Drosophila melanogaster: one gene and its partners. The protein of the gene in region 1 interacts with the protein of each later gene in a pairwise test. Each region holds a gene or a part of one and is shown on either strand. Other genes may lie near its edges. The genes, in order: CG13083, CG5327, CG12589 and Cluap1.

What was found.
Region 2: the proteins of CG13083 (region 1) and CG5327 interact in a two-hybrid assay, tested with the Drosophila melanogaster proteins (one large-scale study listed by BioGRID).
Region 3: the proteins of CG13083 (region 1) and CG12589 interact in a two-hybrid assay, tested with the Drosophila melanogaster proteins (one large-scale study listed by BioGRID).
Region 4: the proteins of CG13083 (region 1) and Cluap1 interact in a two-hybrid assay, tested with the Drosophila melanogaster proteins (one large-scale study listed by BioGRID).

The regions. Positions count from the first base shown.
Region 1 is NT_033779.5:19,485,388-19,489,641, reverse strand, and holds CG13083 (uncharacterized protein), read right to left. Parts: upstream 2,153-4,254; 5' UTR 2,119-2,152; coding exon 1,265-2,118; intron 1,208-1,264; coding exon 1,111-1,207; 3' UTR 951-1,110; downstream 1-950. Other genes in the region: CG10194 (uncharacterized protein), read left to right, coding at 1-342, 430-834; CG13084 (uncharacterized protein), read right to left, coding at 3,246-3,685, 3,745-4,254.
Region 2 is NT_033778.4:18,613,973-18,619,445, forward strand, and holds CG5327 (uncharacterized protein), read left to right. Parts: upstream 1-2,015; 5' UTR 2,016-2,078; coding exon 2,079-2,165; intron 2,166-2,224; coding exon 2,225-2,389; intron 2,390-2,468; coding exon 2,469-2,666; 3' UTR 2,667-2,971; coding exon of another isoform or gene 2,972-3,150; 3' UTR 3,151-3,182; intron 3,183-3,227; coding exon of another isoform or gene 3,228-3,765; 3' UTR 3,766-4,345; downstream 4,346-5,473. Other genes in the region: CG10927 (uncharacterized protein), read left to right, coding at 1-237; mRpS28 (mitochondrial ribosomal protein S28), read right to left, coding at 269-452, 510-631, 693-971; CG5323 (uncharacterized protein), read left to right, coding at 1,189-1,275, 1,336-1,500, 1,598-1,786; CG5493 (uncharacterized protein), read right to left, coding at 2,972-3,150, 3,228-3,765.
Region 3 is NT_033777.3:5,136,002-5,140,865, reverse strand, and holds CG12589 (uncharacterized protein), read left to right. Parts: upstream 1-1,876; 5' UTR 1,877-3,252; intron 3,253-3,292; exon of another isoform or gene 3,293-3,371; 5' UTR 3,372-3,388; coding exon 3,389-3,679; 3' UTR 3,680-3,809; downstream 3,810-4,864.
Region 4 is NC_004354.4:22,541,458-22,546,213, forward strand, and holds Cluap1 (clusterin associated protein 1), read right to left. Parts: upstream 2,866-4,756; 5' UTR 2,767-2,865; coding exon 2,745-2,766; intron 2,679-2,744; coding exon 1,512-2,678; intron 1,455-1,511; coding exon 1,161-1,454; intron 1,103-1,160; coding exon 993-1,102; 3' UTR 929-992; downstream 1-928. Other genes in the region: CG17600 (uncharacterized protein), read left to right, coding at 1-361.

The DNA of each region.
Region 1 (4,254 bases):
TCCCTAGCTCTGCGGCTGACTGCCATACGAGAAACCTTCGAGGAGTTGGGTATCCTGCTGTGCAGGGACAGCAAATCATTGACCTCCACTAGCGATTATGGAGCGTTCTATGACCAGTTTGACCGCGCCCACTGGCAGCACATCGTCCACAACAATGCCAGCCAGTTCCTGGAGCTCTGCAAGCAGCTGGATGTGCTTCCAGATGTCTGGTCACTTCACGAGTGGTCTGTCTGGCGCACGCCGTCCACGTTTAAGAAGCGCTTCGAGACGGCCTTCTTTATGACTGCCCTGGAACAGGAACCCAGGGTTCACATCGAACCTAATGAGGTCAAGGATTCTGCGGTAGGTGGGTGGGATATTATACGGCACAAGAGCGATACGCGAAACCTTTAAGTTGCATTTAATGTACTATCATTTATATTATTGTAGTGGCGTTCCCCATTGGACTACCTTCAAGCGAGCCTAAGAAAAGAACTCTGGCTGCCGCCTCCACAATTCTATGAACTTTCGCGCTGCCTAAACTTCTCCTCTTTAGATAACCTGCGTCAGTTTGCAGCAGAGCGTGAGGTCAAAGGCATTCAGCTGATTCATCCTGTAGTGCACAAGTGTACAAATGGATTAGTGCATCTCTTGCCAGGAGATGATGCTTACCCCGCCGATCCGGATGCAAGTAACGAAAAAATTGAGATCGATTTGTCAGTCGAGGAATTCCGTTCGAAGACGAATGCTAAATTACATCGATCGGAGCACTGGAACCAGCATCAGTCGCAGCTGATAATTAAGTTTGAGCGGGATGATGGTCAGGTTCATCCATTGGATCCAACAAAATTATAGAGGTAGAGCCGGTTTCCTCTATGTCAGGTGCATTTATCTAGTTTTATAAGTTTTCCAACAATTGATATATAAAGTTGGACATAACACTTTTTAGCAATATACAACTTATAAAGTTCGATTTCCTCCATTTACTCTTGTTTATTACATTGTGTTACAGAACGGTTTAATATACAATTATATAAGATAGATAGAATCGACATGCTGGGATTTGATATAGGAAATCAAGCAATTTCTGAATATGGCATAAAACATCTATCTTCAGTTTTCGTATTAATGCTACTGGCCCTTTCCATACCAAAGTTTGTATAGGTATTCAGCCTCTTCTTGGGATGCATAGACGTTCTCGTATCCTTGATTGCCCTCTGGTTTTGGCCTTAAAATGAAAAGAGTGGTTTTAGTGTGCACCCAGAAGTAGGGCATACAAACTTACTTGTAAATTGGTGCGTGTTCCGGGTGAGTCCAGATCTCGTGGGGCTTCTGGTGTGACGGATTTTTGTGCTTGCAGCCATCCAGCGTCCTTTCAATGTTCTTCTGATTGTTCAGTAGGGCAGCCAGTTTATGATCGACCTGTGAGGTGGCCACCTGCACTCCATGGACAGTGTGCTCGATGCTGTTGAGGCTCTCGGACTGAGTGCGGTTGAGAATGACCAGACCCCACTCCAATTGATTGACTTTGCGATTGGCACGATCTGCCAGAGCCTTAAGTTCGCCCAGATATCCCACTTGACCCACGATGTTGCGCTGCTGCTCCTGGAGGACCTTCGCTTTATTGTCCAAGCCGATGAGTTCCCCTATGACGGCCTGTGATAGCAGCTGCTGAATCTCCGACAGATGCGAGTTGACGGATGAGGCCACTTCATTTAGGTTCTGCTCGTATTTGTTCTGATTGGCAGCCACTTGTTCCAGGGCTTTCCTGATTTCTAGCTCCACTTTGGTAAGATTCCTAATAGAGTTTTCATTCTGACCCTGGATTGCGTTAACAATGGCTGTCAAATTTCCCACTCCAGAGGCCGTGGCTTGGAAGCTGCTTTGAACGTTCGATTCCAGCTTGGCTATGGCAACCTCCAATCCAGCAATGAGTTCGATCTCGTCGCGCTGATGCTTGAACTTCTCTTCAATGCCCTTCTGCACGTCCTTCACTTTCTGCAGCCCATGGTTTAGCTCCTCCGTACCTTTGATCAGCTCCTCCACCTCACTGCGGATCTCATGGATGGAGTCCAGATCCTCAGCTGCAGCCGCGCATAGGTAAATGCATATCGTTAGCAAAGTCAGTCGCACTCTCATGGTGTTTCTCTGATGGCCGCTCCCCGCTGAGTGTCTCTTTTCGATCCGAACCGCAACTTAAGTAGCCCAACTTAAGGTCCAAAACGTGTCTTAGACTGGGTTAAGTTCTATCAGTTCGGTCACCACCCACTTCTCTTCAGCGGGTGCAGGTGCAAATGCTGCTCCAATCTGTAATAGTGTGTTTACGAGAATTTCCCTACTACTAAGAAGATAGTCGCGAACAACTGTTTTATCATCTTGTAAAAAGAAAGAACTAAAGCGAATTATGTTGCATGTAGTCGTACTAAATAGTTATTGGTTCATCGACATCTTGGTAAAGTTAGGGAAAATCCGTGTAGTGTCACGTTTCAAAATTCTTCTTTGTTTCTAAACAGAACAGATTGACCCGGTTTTTTGTGTGCTACGGTAGTAATAACACCACTGAAAAACGTGCCCCAGCTGCTTCTTGTTCAAATTCATTCAGAAAATAGGTCTTCGAAGGTAATGATAACGTAACAAATGTTTTCGGGCATACTGTCTATCGTTTACAAGAAATAAAGTAATAAAGCGAACTAAAGTAATTTTGTAAAAGTTTAATAAGTCTATATTTTGTTTCCTATTTCGAAAACAGCAGTATAATTAATTATCCTTCATATTATCATGCCTATTCAAAAATTGGCCAAGATGCCTTTTGCAAATTTAAACAAACTTGGATCCTTTACTATTAACTTTTAAAAAAGCTTAAAATATTTTTAAAATTTGCTTCTATCAACAAACAATAGCATAGGTTAATAGTAAGGTGAATTTATTTACCTACAAAACATACAAAATAACAAAAATTTCTTCGTATATTTTGAATAGATTTTGAGAAAAGTTTTTGGAAATTGAATGTATATTTTCGCATACGATGCTAAAAGTTGATGCATATGATTTCCATGAAACTATAGCATTTTTTCTCAAAAGTTATTTATTAATTACTTGCTAGGAATATAATCAAAAATGTATTTCCTTTGCTTTTTTTTTATTTATTTATAAAACATAAAAATTGTACAAAGTAATGAATCTGAATTAAAAAAAAAGAGTTTGTTAAATGCTTTGAAAAGTTGTATCAGTTTCAGTAACAGTGGTAGTCCCAGTTAAATCTTCCTTTAGTATCCTTGGGGGAGGGAACTGTCTCCATACCAAATCCTGAAGGATTCTCCTGGCTGGATGGGCTGTGGCTTGTAGATCTCCTCATTGTAAGACTGTGGCTCGTGGTGGGGCTTATGAGGTTGCTCGTGGTTAGGTTTGGGACTGTAATCCACAGGAAGCTTGTAGGATTCAGGCTGGTCATGTGGCAAAGGAACATAGGATGCCGGAGTAGGGTGCTCTTTCTTGGGGCACGGCTTGGGCTTGGTAACGGAGGTGGGAACGTGGGCCGGAGCTGGGTTCCATGGCTGATGGTGGTGAACTGGAGCGGACTGGTATGGGGATCCGTACTCCCACGGCACCGTCTGCCGCCAGGACACGGCGCTGGAGCTCTGATAGTTCTTCTTTGGCTCGGGGGACTGGGCATAGGCGGTAGCTTTGTGGTTTCCAGAGTGCTCTCCTATGAACGACAAGCCATTAATTTGTGATCCTAATCTGGTGGCAATAAGGACCACTTACCGTGCTTGGGCTCCTCCTTGATGCTCCACACCTGTTCCAGATCCACTTGCTTGGGCTTAGGATGAGCATGCTGCGGCTCTGGGACCTCAGCTCCGTAGGTGGGAAGATAGGACTCGTCGTGATGGCCATATTGCGGATAGGGCTGTTGTCGGCTGCACTCTTCCAGACCCAGTTCGATGCGTTTCTGCGAGATGATCAGTTCGCGGAGAACAGCCTCCACTTTCCAGGAACTGTGGGGCTGCAAATGCTTGACTGCATCGATTAGGATGTCCAAGCGCTGCTCCTGAGTGCGATTCAGCTGCTTCAATTGATGCTCCAGCACGTTCAGCTTGAAGTTGGAGTTCTCGCTGAGCTCCTTGACTCCGGCCAAGTTCTTCAGCTCCACCTCCACGTTGATTTGGGACGTCTCCAAGCTATCGAAGGTACACTTTAGCCCATTCAATTGTGGCAACACCGTCCTAGTAATAAGTTTGGCCAGTCCGTCGATGCTGTTGTCAATGTTGCGGGAAC
Region 2 (5,473 bases), on another chromosome or scaffold:
AACCTGGCCAAATTCGGACCCTATCTGTGCACCGGCTACGATATCTATCTGCTGCAGGAACCCTGCCTTATGTGCTCCATGGCCCTGGTACATAGCAGGGCGAAAAGAGTATTTTTCGTTAAGAACTCTGAAAACGGAGCTCTAGCCACGAGATTCCAACTGCATTCGGTGCGGGAACTCAACCATCACTACGAAGTGTTCCAGTTCACAACCAAGGAGGATGAAGACTTGACGTAACGTTTAACAAACCTTGGTTTTAATAAAGGATTTATAGGATATCTTCGATTTTCGGCGTTGTTTTGGCCGTCGACTGGCGGGTGGGCGTGGACAGGAGACCCAGCAAATGGCAATCTGCCTCTAGAATGGTAATATCCTTGGACGAACCCAGAAACTTGGTGGACAACTCCAAGTCCTTGATGCGCAGTCGAACACGGGCTCCTCGCACATAGTCGCTGAAGTAGGAAAGGCGGTTTATTGGATAAAGAGACAGGAAATTATATTGAACTCACCTGGCATTGCGTGTTGGACGACTGCAGACGCAGTGAAACTTCCAACCAAAGTCTATGTAGAGATCATCGCCCACCACATGAAAGATCTTGCCACTGACCACCTTGCCCTCGGCGTTGTCCAGCTGCTCCAGAAATCAACAAGTTATTACATAAACAATGGGATTACTTAAATAATGTACCCACATCAATTAATTTGGAGTTGCGCAGCAGGGAGGCGAAGGTCTGGTTGTCTTCCGGCAGCTGTGGAGGCGTGGCTGGTGCCGTGTACTTGTCGAAGGCACGGGCGAATCCTCCCTTGCTGCTGCCAATCTCCGCCGTTTCCGTATTCACTGCGGGAGTAGATTCCTCCGCCGGTTTTTCTGTGTTACCGCTGATAAGTCGAATGACCATTGGCATTCGGGAACGACAGGTTAATGAAGCCATCGGTACACCAGATCTGCTTAGTTTTTGCAAGAGCGACATGGTTTTAATTTAATATTGCTCAAAAATATCCACAAGAAAACCAAAACCAAGTGGAAAACCAAAGAAGAAGAGCGGCACCGATAGACTGCTAATCGATTATTAGCAGCTGCGTCGGCTCATCACTAATCGAATATTACAAAAAACACGCTGCCGGCATTTATTTTGATATTACGAAATCGGTTGTAAGACGTAGGTAATTAACAATTAAACAAGCAAAATGATCCAGCAACAGCGCCAGAAAATCGAGGCCGCGGTAACGGAGATGATCGACGACATGGACAAGACGCACCTGCGCAAAATGCAGGTAAGTGGAGTTCGCTTTAGGGGATATCCCGAAACTGACTTGCTTTTCACGAAATTCCAGAATGAGATGCACTTGTGTGCGGCCAAGTGCTGCCAGGATGGAACCTCCAGCGTGGACAGTGTCCAGAGATGTGTGGATCGATGCTCCGCGCCCATGACGAGGGCACAGAACTACGTTCAACACGAATTGGGCGAGTTCCAGGGCAGACTTCAACGTTGCGTCATGGTTAGTATCCATTGCACCAACTTTTTGCCCTGGTGGCTCTAAGAATAATAGAATATTATTAGGCAACGCTCATATTTCACATTCTCCTCTTCCGCAGCAATGCAACGACGATGTGAAGGTGAAAATGCCGCCCAGTCCCAATGAGGATCAGATAGCCAAGTACACCGACCAATTCGAGCGCTGTGCCATCCAGTGTGTGGACAAGCATGTGGGCCTCATTCCCGGCATGATGAAGACCATGAAGGCTGTGCTCTCCAAGGGACCCGAGAGCATTCCCCAAGTCTAACTCAACCTGCATTTACTACATAATTAGTTGTTGAATTCGTTTATTTTAAAACCGTGCAATGAGTCCCATCTCTGGAGTCATTTCAAATTTTGCTTTTAAGAATATAGAACAAAAATTACCTTATTAATTGTTGAAAGTCTTAAGCAGCAACCAACAACTGTTGTGCTAACAATCTTCGGAAGAATGTCAAGTTTTGCCATCAGTAAAAAAAATAAACATACTTTGTACACCGAAAACTGTCAATTCAACATTTTGTTTTGTTCTTTCGAAATTGTTCAAATTTTAAATTGAAATGGTGGAGCAACAAAAAAAGCGCTTGGAGGGCGCCATTAGCGAAATGATCGAGGACATGTACCGCACCCACTTGCGCAGAATGCAGGTGAGTGTGTGGCCTCCACTTGCCTACTATGAATTTCTGGTAAGAACGTTGTTTCCAAGTCCACGATGCACCGCTGTGCCGCCCGCTGCTGCGACGATGATCGAGGGACGCTGGAGAGCGTACAGAACTGCATCGAGAAGTGCGCCGGTCCCCTGATGGATGCCCAGGATTTCCTGCAGCACGAGCTGGGCCAATTCCAGAATAGACTTCAAAACTGCGTTAGGGTAGGAGCTTAAACTATAATTATAAATGCTTAATATTGGATTGATATATCCTATTTTTAATACGATTGCCAACCCGCAGGATTGCAACAGCGATGCGCGGTCTCAGATGCCCAGCAATCCGAGTGACCGGGACATGTCCCGATCCCAGCACATGTTTGAGAGTTGCACGAACAACTGTGTGGACAAGTACATAAACCTGATACCTGGTCTGCTCAAGTCGATCAAGCAAACACTGGACAGGGGTCCGCCGAAAAGATCACGCAACATGGATGTCTAACCGGGATGCAATTCAGGATCTGGTGACATTTAAAAAAGCACATTCAAGCAGTTGTCAATGGTTCACTTATTTATTGAATATTTTTGGTACAGCTAACACTTAAAGTACACTAATCGCTGCTGTGATCCGGGATAGCCAATGGATTGGAATGGGAACTTATCAGCGCCAACGTGGCCCTTGCTCGCCATGTTTGATAGCTCAGCTCCCGGATCTTCTTAGGCCCTAGCTCATTAAATATCTAGTAATAAAGATTCTTAGTATTATGCAACAATACGAGAGGCTATATTTTTAGGATCTTGATGGATCTACTGCTCGTTCTGCTTCGTCCTCACGCCGTATTTGCTCCAGAAGGTGACCTTGGCGGTGGTCTTCTTCAGGTTGTCCTGGAACACGGAGCACGTGTCGAAGGGTGGACAGTATAGGTGAAGGGAGACAGAGGTATCCGAATGGCTGGGGTTCTCCACGCGATGCAGACCCAGATTGTCTATGGATAACAAAACGAAAAAAAAAAAAACAGTAAGTATAGGAATACCCCACTTTTAAAGTTTCTAATTTTCTCACCATTTATGTAGGCCACATCATTGACGGCGATTGGTGTCTCCCCAATCTCCACCAGCTCTCGGCTATCGATCTCGCCATCGGGATGATGGGACCGGCCGTTGTCCCTGGCAGATCTATTGGGATACTCGTAGCGCTTCTCGCGCAGATCACCCTTCAGCATCTTCATGAAGCAATGGGAATCGGCATGGTCGTGCACCGAGGAGCCGTGTCCTTCGCCCCAGCACAGAATCAGCAGATTGAACTTTCCATTGCCAGCATCCACGAGATTCCGCGTGTAGGTGTAACGATCGAACTTGGCATATTTGCGCCACTCCCGCGGATTGGACTTGTAGCTGAGCATAAGGTGATTCACCATCTCGATGTTAACATAGTTCGACTCGAATTCCCGGTGAAGGGCGGCCACCAAGTCCGATAGGGAATTCACCTCCGGTCCGTATTTCAGGGGTTTCTCCAGCGGCTGATAGTAGCTAGTGGCCTGACGCAGGTACTTCTCCTGGTCAACCTGCTCGATCTCGGTGTCGATCTTGGACAGGGCCATTTTGGGCTTGCTCTGATTGACCTAGGTTGCGAAAAGGGAAGCGGAAGTTAGAGTGGTGGTGCATCAGTTGAGGCTGAAGGGCGTGGAAAACTACCTATAAAGTCTATAAAGATCACTGCTCAATTGATTTAGATGAATTACGTTGTAAAGTCGATGATCGCTGATAATAGCTATTGGTATATATATATATGAATATTCCGATTCGTTGCTGTTACAATTGATTGAATTGCTTCGACTAACCGCACACGCTCCACCTCGGATCGCAAAATTCGAACTGAATTCTGGAGATTTCGCTCTCCTGTCCAGGCTGCATAATCAGCTCGGATCCGACGTAAATCGGAGGCGCAAGTCCAAAACAATAACAAAAACAAGAAGTCGCCGGCGATAACCGTCCATCCAACTTATCAATAGCAGATTTTACCAATACCCTCGGCTATATAATACACGTATTTCTCAGTAGATGATGATAGATCGAATGTTGCCAGGAGGGGCTCAACAGATGTGCCTGAATTTGAGACAAGAGGTTAACGGCGATCTAATGGGATCGTTTGGCAAATAAAAAACAAATTTATTCCACAATATACTCTGGAGCCGACAATAAAAAATATTTGGGCGATACGGGCATTGTCACTGATACGTTAATATACCAATTGATAACTGATAGCTGGTTGAATCTGGATGCTGACGAATTTGCTTTCAAGATCTGCGGGTCTTACCAGCCGGGATTTTCCCGCAAATTCATTTGAAAAAAAGAACCGCGACTTTCTCTAGTTTTGGATTATAGTTAACCGAAACACTTTGAGATACTTTTTGTTTCGAGAAAGTATTGCCTACTTTCAGGTTCGTTACAGATTTCTCTCAATTGCCTGCCATTTGTCAGCAGATCAGTCGTGTCTTTGTTACTCAGGAAGTTAATTAGTGACTAACACACTGACCTTACTTTCTCCATTAAAATGTTAAACAAAGAAAATGATTCTGTCATTGTTTCTCCTAACACGATATGAATTGAACTCATAAATTTAATTATATAACTTCAGGTGAAAACTCGAAATAAATAAAACACTTGAGCTTGCATTAAAGGTAATAACTTTTTTACGATCCCCATGCAATGTTGTTAAATCTTTTCCCCTTGGTGCCACATCAAGGTATTTGAAAAATGTTTTGCAATGGCCAAAAAGCATAAACTGCCAAGCTGGCAGCCAACTTTCGCAACAGGTTAAGGCCAATAGCAAAGTCAAAGCAAAAACTAAAAGCTGCGAACTGCCATTTGCGTAAATATTATGCGAACAAATAGCTTGGAAAATTGGTGAAAAGCAGTTGCCAATTTTCGAAACAGTTCAACAAACTACGATTTAAGTTTGATTTTCTGATTTTCGTACAATTTCAGCAGGGAAAGGGATTTGAAGGATAAAGGACTTACCATTTTGTTTGACTTCTTGGAATTTCTCTCTTAGCTATGGCAACTGAATAATTTTTTATGAACTTGAAATTCACTTTTTAAAAACACTTTTAATTTCAGGACTTGGTATTGCACTTTTTCGACTTTTCACTGGGTAGTTGCCACTTGGATGCGCGTCGCCGAGCTTATGTGCCCGTTTTGGGTATCTTTCACCAATTTATGAAGATCTTGGCCAGCAAACCCCGGTTAACCACTCAAAACGCAATTCGAGTGACAAAAGGCGACGCTGGCAGAGGCATCGCAGCTCGA
Region 3 (4,864 bases), on another chromosome or scaffold:
TTTTATTAAACCAAATTCATTTCCTTAAGTAAAATTTCGAGCAGTGTAAGTTTGGTTGGTTTGGGTAACAATAAGGTTTATGGCTCTGTACAGGGTACCACAAAACATTACCAATTATTATATTTCAGAGTAAATATTTGAGTATTGATAATAATATGAATAACATGAATTTTCCTTCGAGTGCGCCTTGCCTTGTGGCTGCATGTTGGTCCGTGTGAGTTTGTTAAGCTGCTTTTGAGGCAGGCACTCAGGCACAGGCCGACCACACACAGGAGCATCCGGAGTCCCGTGGTCCCATAGTCCCATAGTCCCGTAGTCCGGACTGCAGAGCCCATAGTCACAGGACGAATTCACGTGTGCGTTTGTCTCCGCTCCTTTGCGAGTGTGAGTGTGTGAGTGCGAGTACGAGTGTGTGTGTGTGTGTGTGTGGGTGCAGGACGACGGACATGTTGCTGAGGCGCGGCCAATGCTTGTTACGCTTTTGAGCCCCCGCCTGCGGTTGACAGAGCACGTTGAACCACCCACTCCGCTTGGTTCGAGCCGTGCACTTAGCCATCCGCCACCCACCACCAGCCACCCTCCGCCCATCGAGCCATCGTGAAAGCATCCAAACAGGCAGCTTTTCTGCGGCCTGATTCACATTAAAACGCAATTAAAGTTGCAGGCGTTAATTGTGCCGCCTGTGTTGCCTTTTTTTTAACCTTTTCAGCTTTTTGCCGTTCGCTGGTTGTCTTTTTGAGTTAGCTGCCGAAAATTAATTACTTTTGCCCTGTCAAAGTTTCCAAAGTCATTGGAAAGGGGGGAAGCGCAGATATTACGCGAGAAATATAAAATACTCGGCAACTATGAGTAGGTGTGTTCTGGAAATCTATTTACCTAATAAATTGTTGATCTTTGAGAGAGATTCATTTCAGAATTATGAATTATTTGTCCTGTATTCGTAAGCTAAAAACATGAATCCGATTATAAAGCCTTTTTTCTTATAAATCTTAAAACAATTCTACAGAACTTAAATATTCAGTGCCTTCATTCCGTGAAACGACACACATAAAAACATGGCTTTCCTAAATTTAAAATAGATTTTAATGGAAGTTCCACTGTTTGTTTGTAAATGGGAATGCTCGCATGTGAATGTCTCTTAATGAATCAAGTCCATGAATAAAGCCGCAAGTGGGGCTTTTTTCGACTTTTGCTGTGGCATAGCACTATGCGGTGGGCCGGAAGTAAGTGGGCGTGGCAGAAGTCGTTTGGTGCTAATGGGGAGCCGGACACACACAGATATGCACAGATATACAATGATATACAATCGTTCGCTGAGTTTTTCTCGTGCCGTTTCTTTAGCCAGATGTGTAGTAAAATCCTTTGGCTGGCAACTTTATCCTTCGGCGCGGATTCCCAGAAGCAGCTGTTGTTCTTCTTCCCCTTCACTGACGTTGCATTCTGAAAGCGCTGTTTATATCACAGCTTTTCTTATTCCTTTTCATTGTGCCGCCCGTTTTTCGCTTTTGCAACCGTCGGGTGGCTGGCTTAAGCGCCAGTTGCCGGCGACGTGCCGCTGAAATAATTAAGTTGCCAATCCCGGCAGGCTGAATATCAACAGACATCCAGAAAAAGCCAAGATAGAGATGCAACTGGCAATGGAAAGGGTTGCAGGCTTAAACTTAGGTTCATAGATTTTCAATTAGCCTGTCAGGATGAAAGCAGCAGGCGTGGATTTTGTTGTGCTCGATTTTTTTTTTATTTTTTTTTTCTCTTTTTATTTACAATCTGTCTTAAAAAAGTATGACAATAAGTAAATTTTATAATTAATCTTAATTTAACAGAGGCAGTAGTTATCCATTATCGATTTTTAAAATTTATTTAAAACGTTGTTTGGCAAATTGTTTAAAGTCAAAGGTGAGAGATGAGCCACTCCGTATTTGCAATCATCATCAGTGCTATTCCGCAAAGCTCGGACGGCCTTAAAATTGGGCTTTATCCTCGCCTTGGCAACATGTCGCATGCGTATTATCCAGAAATAGCCTCAAGTGCCTGCACCACAAATAGAAAACAAACAGCCAGCCTGCCCACACGCACACTCCCCAGCAAATAGACAGCTTGTCAAACTTTTCGGTTAGAAGGAAATGCGAAACATTCCTCGAATATTACGCATACGCACGGCTGGCGGCCACAACACCGCAACTAAGGCGTTTTCTGTGCATAAGATGTCGCCGGGCAAAGGAAAAGTGAAAACTGCTGCAATTTCCACCACCATTCCGCCCAGTTCACATTCTTTTGACAAGAGCCGTTGGCCTTGTCTCTCGACGAGATGCTTGATCATTAGCATCACAGTCGTAGTGGAGTCGCAGCAAATTGCTATGCTATGCAGTGCGCACTTGGCGAAATGCATTCATGATTTTAGACCATTTTTCCAAAGTGCTCAAATACCGTCAAATATCTTAGGATATCATTTAGATTTCTTTCGAACTTTACTTTAATTTCCGGTCATCCGCCAAATTTTCGGTCATCCGTAAAGTGAATGCCTGACATCCGAATATTTTTTTCCGTGTGGAACGTGCTGCCAATTTACGATTCAGACGGCGCTGCGCCGCCCGAAAAGGAACCCCAAACGATGCAACTGGGTCGGCCGGGTGCAATGCAACTCGTACTCGCACAAAGGAAACAAAGGCACTAAGTTGCGGCGACATGTAGCGCTTTAAGCTGTGGAGAGCGAGCGAGGCCAATGAATACCAAATGAATCGATAGTGCGAAATCGAACTCCGGGGGCAGCGTCAGCAGGGCTGGCATTTTTCTGCTCGGTCGAGCCAGGGTGCGGAAAAGCAATTTCGGTCTGAGCCACCTCAAGTAGCTGCCGCTTTCCCGCCTTTCCAGCCTTTCGTGCTTTCCACTAGGCCAAACGATTTGAAAATTTTACGAACGCACCACTGCGCATTGCTCACAACCAATCGAGGGCATTAGCTGGGCAAAAAATACAAGACATCTTAACCAAACACGGAGCAAATGTTCAATTTCCAAGTCAATCAACTAGAAAAAGTTGCACTCACTCGCTGCGGAAATCTTTTGCGTATAGGTTTCCGGCATGGAATGCTGGATTCTGGGCCCAAAGTTCTTGCAACTCGGAATTAAGCGATTAGATGGAAGTTTGCCACCCAGTTGGCACGCTTAAATTATTCCAAGTTTCCGCTTCTGTCGCCAGCAGATACGCACACTGAAAAAAACTGGGACTCCCACAACTATATAGAATAGGACATAGTATGTATTTGCTTGGCTCTACTTCCAACATGTGTTTAAAATTTTTCAAAAATATTTTGTTCAATTGACATATGTATGTATATTCATTACCAATATAACAATTTACCATTGCTGTGTAGCACACATCAGTTGCACAATGGACGCGCATTCCACAGCCGTCGCAGGCATAGATATGGAACTGGACTTCGGCGAGGACATGGATGAGCACGGAGAATTGGAGAAAGTGGGTCAGCCTGAGAATTTGGTAGCGATGGTGCTGCGCCTGCAGGCGAACCACGTGTGGATCCGGGAGCAGCTGACTCACCTACAGCGCCGCCTGGTGACCCTTCGGCTGGACAAGCAAAGAAGCTTATACGAGGGAAAGGAGCGGTTACAGCGACTCCTGCTGAGCTTGCAGGTGAAACACGGACGCCACTGGGCACTGTAGGGGAATCGATGGACGATGGAGCTCGGAATTCAGGTGACGAAAGTGTAAAAGTACAAGCGAACTATCTTGGTGAAAGATGATGTAATGATGTTCTCAACTTCGTATTAAATATAGTGGTTTTAGAAAGCTTAATCATAAAAGCCTCATTAATGTTAAATTAAGAACGAAAATTACTGAGAAATAGTTTCATAAAGTTTGCAAAGTAAACGATGGTTATGTCCAGTCTTTCTTTTGTATAAATATTATACCGTATATATTATATTGATTTCAGACATAAGTTTAATACGCAGTGAAAAAGACTTTGCCGACCATATATATTTTACTATAAAGTACATATTCTTGATCAGTAATAATATCCTAGTCGATAGAGTCATGTTCATATGGCATGAATCTTTCCCACAACTTCTATTTTTGCTGCTGGTGGTAAATAAGGCTAAGTTGGACCATAATATCACAAGCAGCCACAGGAATAATCGAAAAGTGAAATCATATAGTTTTGATTCGTTACACACTAGTATTTTAACAAATATTTAATTACTGCAAAGGCTTGGCTTATTAAGAGTATTAAGAAGTTTTACACGGCACTTCCACGAGTCCTTTCAATTATCCAACCTGATGACAGCCTGATGACAGTCCCAGCCGAACAGGAAGGCCAGATTTGTGGCCCACACAATCATAATTGTTGAACAGACTTGTGCGTTCGGATGTAAACCAAGTGCCGTACTTAGGCACTTAATTCATGCGACTAACACACGCCACACAATGCACATTGCCCGACAACAAATAGCCCAAAACCCTGGTGACATGGCAATCAAAGTTCGCCTTGCAGTGCGCCGCTCTGCGTAACTCAATTAACCAGACACCAAGCAGCGGAGGTCGAGTGCATCACTTAACTCGAGATTAACCCTTGACTGCCGCTGTCCGCGTCCTGTCCCCTCCAATGACGTGCGGCGCCTGGGATGGAACCTACTCGCTCCTCGTCGCATCAGCCACTTACACGGGCCCATTGCTGTTTAGCAACTATTTATGGAGACAAGTAGTTGCCACTTGCCACCTACATGCTCTACAGTACACAGAGAGAAACTGGGATCGATAGCAGCAGATGCCAACCTAAATGGAAAATCTTCGGCAGTTGTCTGTACAACTGTTTCCGAATTAATGACCACTATATGAGTGGTTTTTCCC
Region 4 (4,756 bases), on another chromosome or scaffold:
CATGCGACCTGGGCCCGGATCCGTGACCTACGCCCACCCGGCTAGCCTAAGCGGGACATACCGGACTCACAAGAGCACAAAGTCAGCGGAGATCAATGGGCAGCGAAGACGGCGGCGGGCGGGAAAGTCTGATGCCAATCGCCGGCAGCGCCGAAAATCGGAAGCGGATGTCCTGGACGGTGCTCCCAATTTCCAGTATACGGGTCTAGATCGAGCCATAGCTGATAGCTTTTTGGCCAGGCAAGAACAGTCACAGGCGGGCAGTCACGTCGACTATTCGTCGTCTGCCTCCTCGGACTTGTACGGCGGTCAGAGGGCATCCTTCAAAACGAAGATCGTTTGCCGGGATGTGGTGATGTGACGGGAAAAGCATCCGCTCTCTAGTTCCCAGTTTCCCAGACTTTTGTATATATTTTTTTTACGGAGCCACAACGAAATCCCATCTATGTGGGGCTTTGTCTGATAAATTACCCCTTTTATATCCATTACTCTATCAATGTACTTACATATGCGTATAGCTCTTAAGACACATTAAAATTAATCGAATAAAGATATATTAAGCAAACTATTTCAATTATTCGAGCATTGAATTAACTGATTATAACGTATCTACAAAAGCAAATTTAATTTATATCTCGCTTCTTGGAGGAATAGATTAGCTAAAGTCATACAGATAACGATGTACTTAGTTAGGGATCCTGGCTATGCTTTGACTTGCACAGTCCCACTTACCTATGTACATGCAGAAATCCATCTTTGACTACACTTTGATTGCTCATCATACTAGTCACCATATCGCCAGACAATTCGTGTTACTGCAGGAACCGGAACCCTAAGGCCGTCTATTTGCGAGACGGTGACGTATTTGATTGTGACGTGGAAAGAAATCTTTTAATTGCTTGATGGGAATATTTTATTTACTTTTTACAACCTGTCTGCCCTCTGGCTGAGTTTATAAAATTAGCAAATAAATATAAATATTGTAGTTATCCCTAGAAATCCTCATCGCTGTGATGCTCCGCTTTATTGGCGGTCTTCGGTCTAAGTGGCAGTTCGCCAGTTAACTTTGAAATGCTTATGTCATCGATCGAGTTCAGATCAACTAGGGGTGAATGAGGTAAAGTTTTGTTATAAGTTCAAGGCGTAACTACACGACTTACAATCATCATCGCCGGCTCCCAAGGCAATATTGCTCATCCCACTTATCCCGCTGATAGCGCTCATGCCACTCATTCCGCTCATTCCGCTCATGCCCATGATTTTACCCACATCCAGTTCGCTTTCGGAGCTCCCGAAGCTGCTGTCTTCGTCCCGGGAGTTGAGCATACTGCTGCCGGGTCCGTTGCGGCCGTTTAGCTGGGTGCCATCGGCGTCTCCTCCAGTCGCAACACCTCTCCTGGTGCCGCGGGCTGCCCTGGCATCATTACCACCATCCGGGCCGGCTGTGCCTCTTCCTGGGATTTTCGTTATTTGAGCAGGGAAATAAGTTTGTGAAATTAGAACTTCCTTACCTCCTACTGCCTTCCTGCTTCTACCCGTTGTGGGTCTAATCCTGGAGGTGGCGGTACCAGGACGTTTTCCCTGGGCGGAAACCATGTTGTTTTGTTGCATTAGTTTGTCCTCGTCCCGTATGTCGGGTATCTCTGAGTCCAGGCCGAAGACACTCCTGCCATTGACCACCATTTCGAGACGGGAAAGTGCTTTGCCGCCATCATCGCCCTCATCCTCGTCATCCAGATCGTCCTCGTCGTCGTCGTCATCGTCGTCCTCGATGAGTCCCTCCGGGATGAAGGGCATTGAGTTCTCGGCGGGCTTTTGCAGAATGGGTGAGGAGATAGGTGTGGCACGTTTAGTACGCAGGTCCAGCTGGGACTTTAGAGCATCGCGCACATGCAGCCTGAGAAAGTAGCGCTGGAATAGCTCCTGCAACTCCTTCTCACAGTCCTCGAATTCGGCCATGTGCGCTGGTCGAATGCGATGCAGTGCCTCCAGTCTTTGGCGGGTTCGCTCGAGCTCCGCCCGACGGCGCTGCAGCTTTGATCCCAGAGCATTGAGCTCCACCTTGGCTGCTTCCAGTTGGGCTCTACTCGATTGGAGGCGAACTTGGTTAGCTTGGATGGCGCTCTTCAGGGTCCGCTCCACGCTGAGCAGCTCCAGGGGTCGTTGGGCCTGGGACATTAGCGATTCCTTGTGGAGCAGTTCCTTCGAAAGCATCTCGCATATGGTTGTGCCACGCTGGGTTAGGTCTGTGGCCAGTTCTCGAGCCTTACGCAACTCCTCTATTTTATCGCCAATATCCACGGGATTTAGGCTCCGGTACTGGTCCCTTTGGTCCTCTTCGTCGTTGTCCGCTTCGTTTTGTCCTGGGGATGTCAAGAGTCGGGTAACCTTCTGTAGCTCTGCCGCCGTAACCGCAGCGGCTGCATACAGTTTTCGGGGATTAATACGAATGGCTGCCTTGGTCACAAAAAACTCGGTCGCCGAACGGACGAGAAGAACCCGCTGCTCCTCCGATTCAACGCCGCCGGGCAAAGTGGCTCCTGGCTCTATTAGTCCTGCTAGCCATTGAAGGAGCTCGGCAACAATGTGGAAACTGGCCAGGCTGCCATGCTGATTGGCCAGGGATTGGAGGGGAAACACGCGCGGGAACCCCAACAGCTTAAGATGTTCCCCCAGATCTGGAAGTGGAGTATCAGTCTGGTCGTGTTAGGTGGAGGAAGTAAGAGGAGGAAGTCAGTACGCACCTCGCACATCCTTGAAGGACATTCCTGGCTTCCAACGAGTTCACCTGTTTTTCTTTGGCTGCTTGCAATCGCTGCGGCTGCGCTGGCAATTGCATTTTCAACACCGTCATTTGTTGTGGTCGTTGGAGCTTTTGTTTGGGCCACCGAATCCCAAATTGATGGTTGCTAGGTAACGGAAAATGCATAGCGAGAAAATATGATAACGAACTCTAAACATTGATCCATTTCTAAAATATATTATTAATATTAAACTAAGATTATTGTCAACAACAATGTTGGTAATTTTAAACGGAATTTTAATAAGAAAATATTACATAAAATAGGAATTAAGATATATGTACTAAATTTCTCAAAAACAGCAATACATGAAACTGAAAATAAAAGCGAAATAAAATTAATTTTAACTTAAATAGGTTTTAGTTTTTTTATTTTAATACTTAAACAAATACAGGTTACTATCACTTGCCATATGAAATTTCTCGCAGTGTCCCCCTGCTATCCTTGGCTAATATTCATTCGATTGCTGTGGACGGTCGCACGGGGTTCACCTGGGAAACGGTTGCGCGGTTTCCATTCCATTAAAAATGTAGGAGTTGCTAAGAACGAATTATTGAAATACGATAATTGGGATTTTTACAAATTAAGCATACCCGACAGAGGGCGCCACTATCTCAACTGAAATTGACCTGTTGGGCACATAAATTTCAGTTTTTCTATATATCCTTTATTGTTCTTGTAATTTACTTATCATTGCACAGATTCAACACTCTGTTGGGTTATCGATGGTGTGATATTTTGGGAAGTTTGCGGGCGTTATAGTGGGCAAGACGACGTTCTGAAACACACTAGAGCTGTGTGTGTGTCACATTAGCTTTTACAGTGTATATACATATATACATATGTACATATATAGCTTATAGTTAATATTGATCGACAGATGGAAGATTCCGCTTGTGATCCTCATCAAGAATTTATATTTTCTAATTTTTTAGTTTTTATACAATTAATGGATATGAAAACCAAATAAAACTCTATTTATTTAAAAAGTCGAATGAACCCTGTTTCAATCATACAAGCGCACATTCAAAATGCCTAAAAGCGGCACTAAATTTGTTATATCCTTTTAGTAATATTCTTATGAAACAGGTAGAAGGAAGCGTTTCCGACCATATATTGTATATATATTCCTAATATACAATATATCCATGTTCGGCCGGACATCCGTATGAACGTCGAGATCTCAGAAATCTATCTATTTTTCAATAAAAGCTAGAAGGTAAAAGAAAGTTAAGAAGCATACAGATTCTAAAGACGTAGACGCAGTGCAGTTGCCCATGTTCCCAAGCCCAGTCTAACGCCCACAAACTGCCTAGAACTGTCACGCCCACACGTTTGCTAAATGTTTTAATACTTTTTCATATTATTATTAGTCTTTTAAATTGCCAATATTATATTATTTCCCAATATCTATCGATATCCGAGAAAAATTATGAAATTTCCCATTCGCATTTCCACTAGCTGAGTAACGATGAGTATCTAATAGTCGGGGAACTCGATTATATCATACACTCTTGTTTTGCTTAATATGGGGAATACGGATTTTACTAAGTAATAGTCTTGGTGCATAAGGAATAAATACATACCAAAACCAACCAACCACTAACGTGTATCTTCTGATAGTCGGAGAACTCATTCATAGCGTTCTCCCTTGTCTTGCTACGCATATTCTGATACTAGGGTATCAGATAGTTAAATAATTGAGGGGTTGTGCTCAAACTGTTTTTGTTTTTTGTATTTTATAGCGCACACAAATGTATTTTAAACCCGATCAGTAGCTGGAGGCCTTGTACTCAAAAATTGAGTAACATTATGAAATTACAATTGCTTTCACAAACTTCGCGTGCTTTGCTTATTGCGTGCATTTTCAAACTTTTTTTCTCTTCTATTCGCATCGATATCATACCGTTTAGTTATTGACTATCTCGTTATGGTTAAATTATTTCTGGACAAAA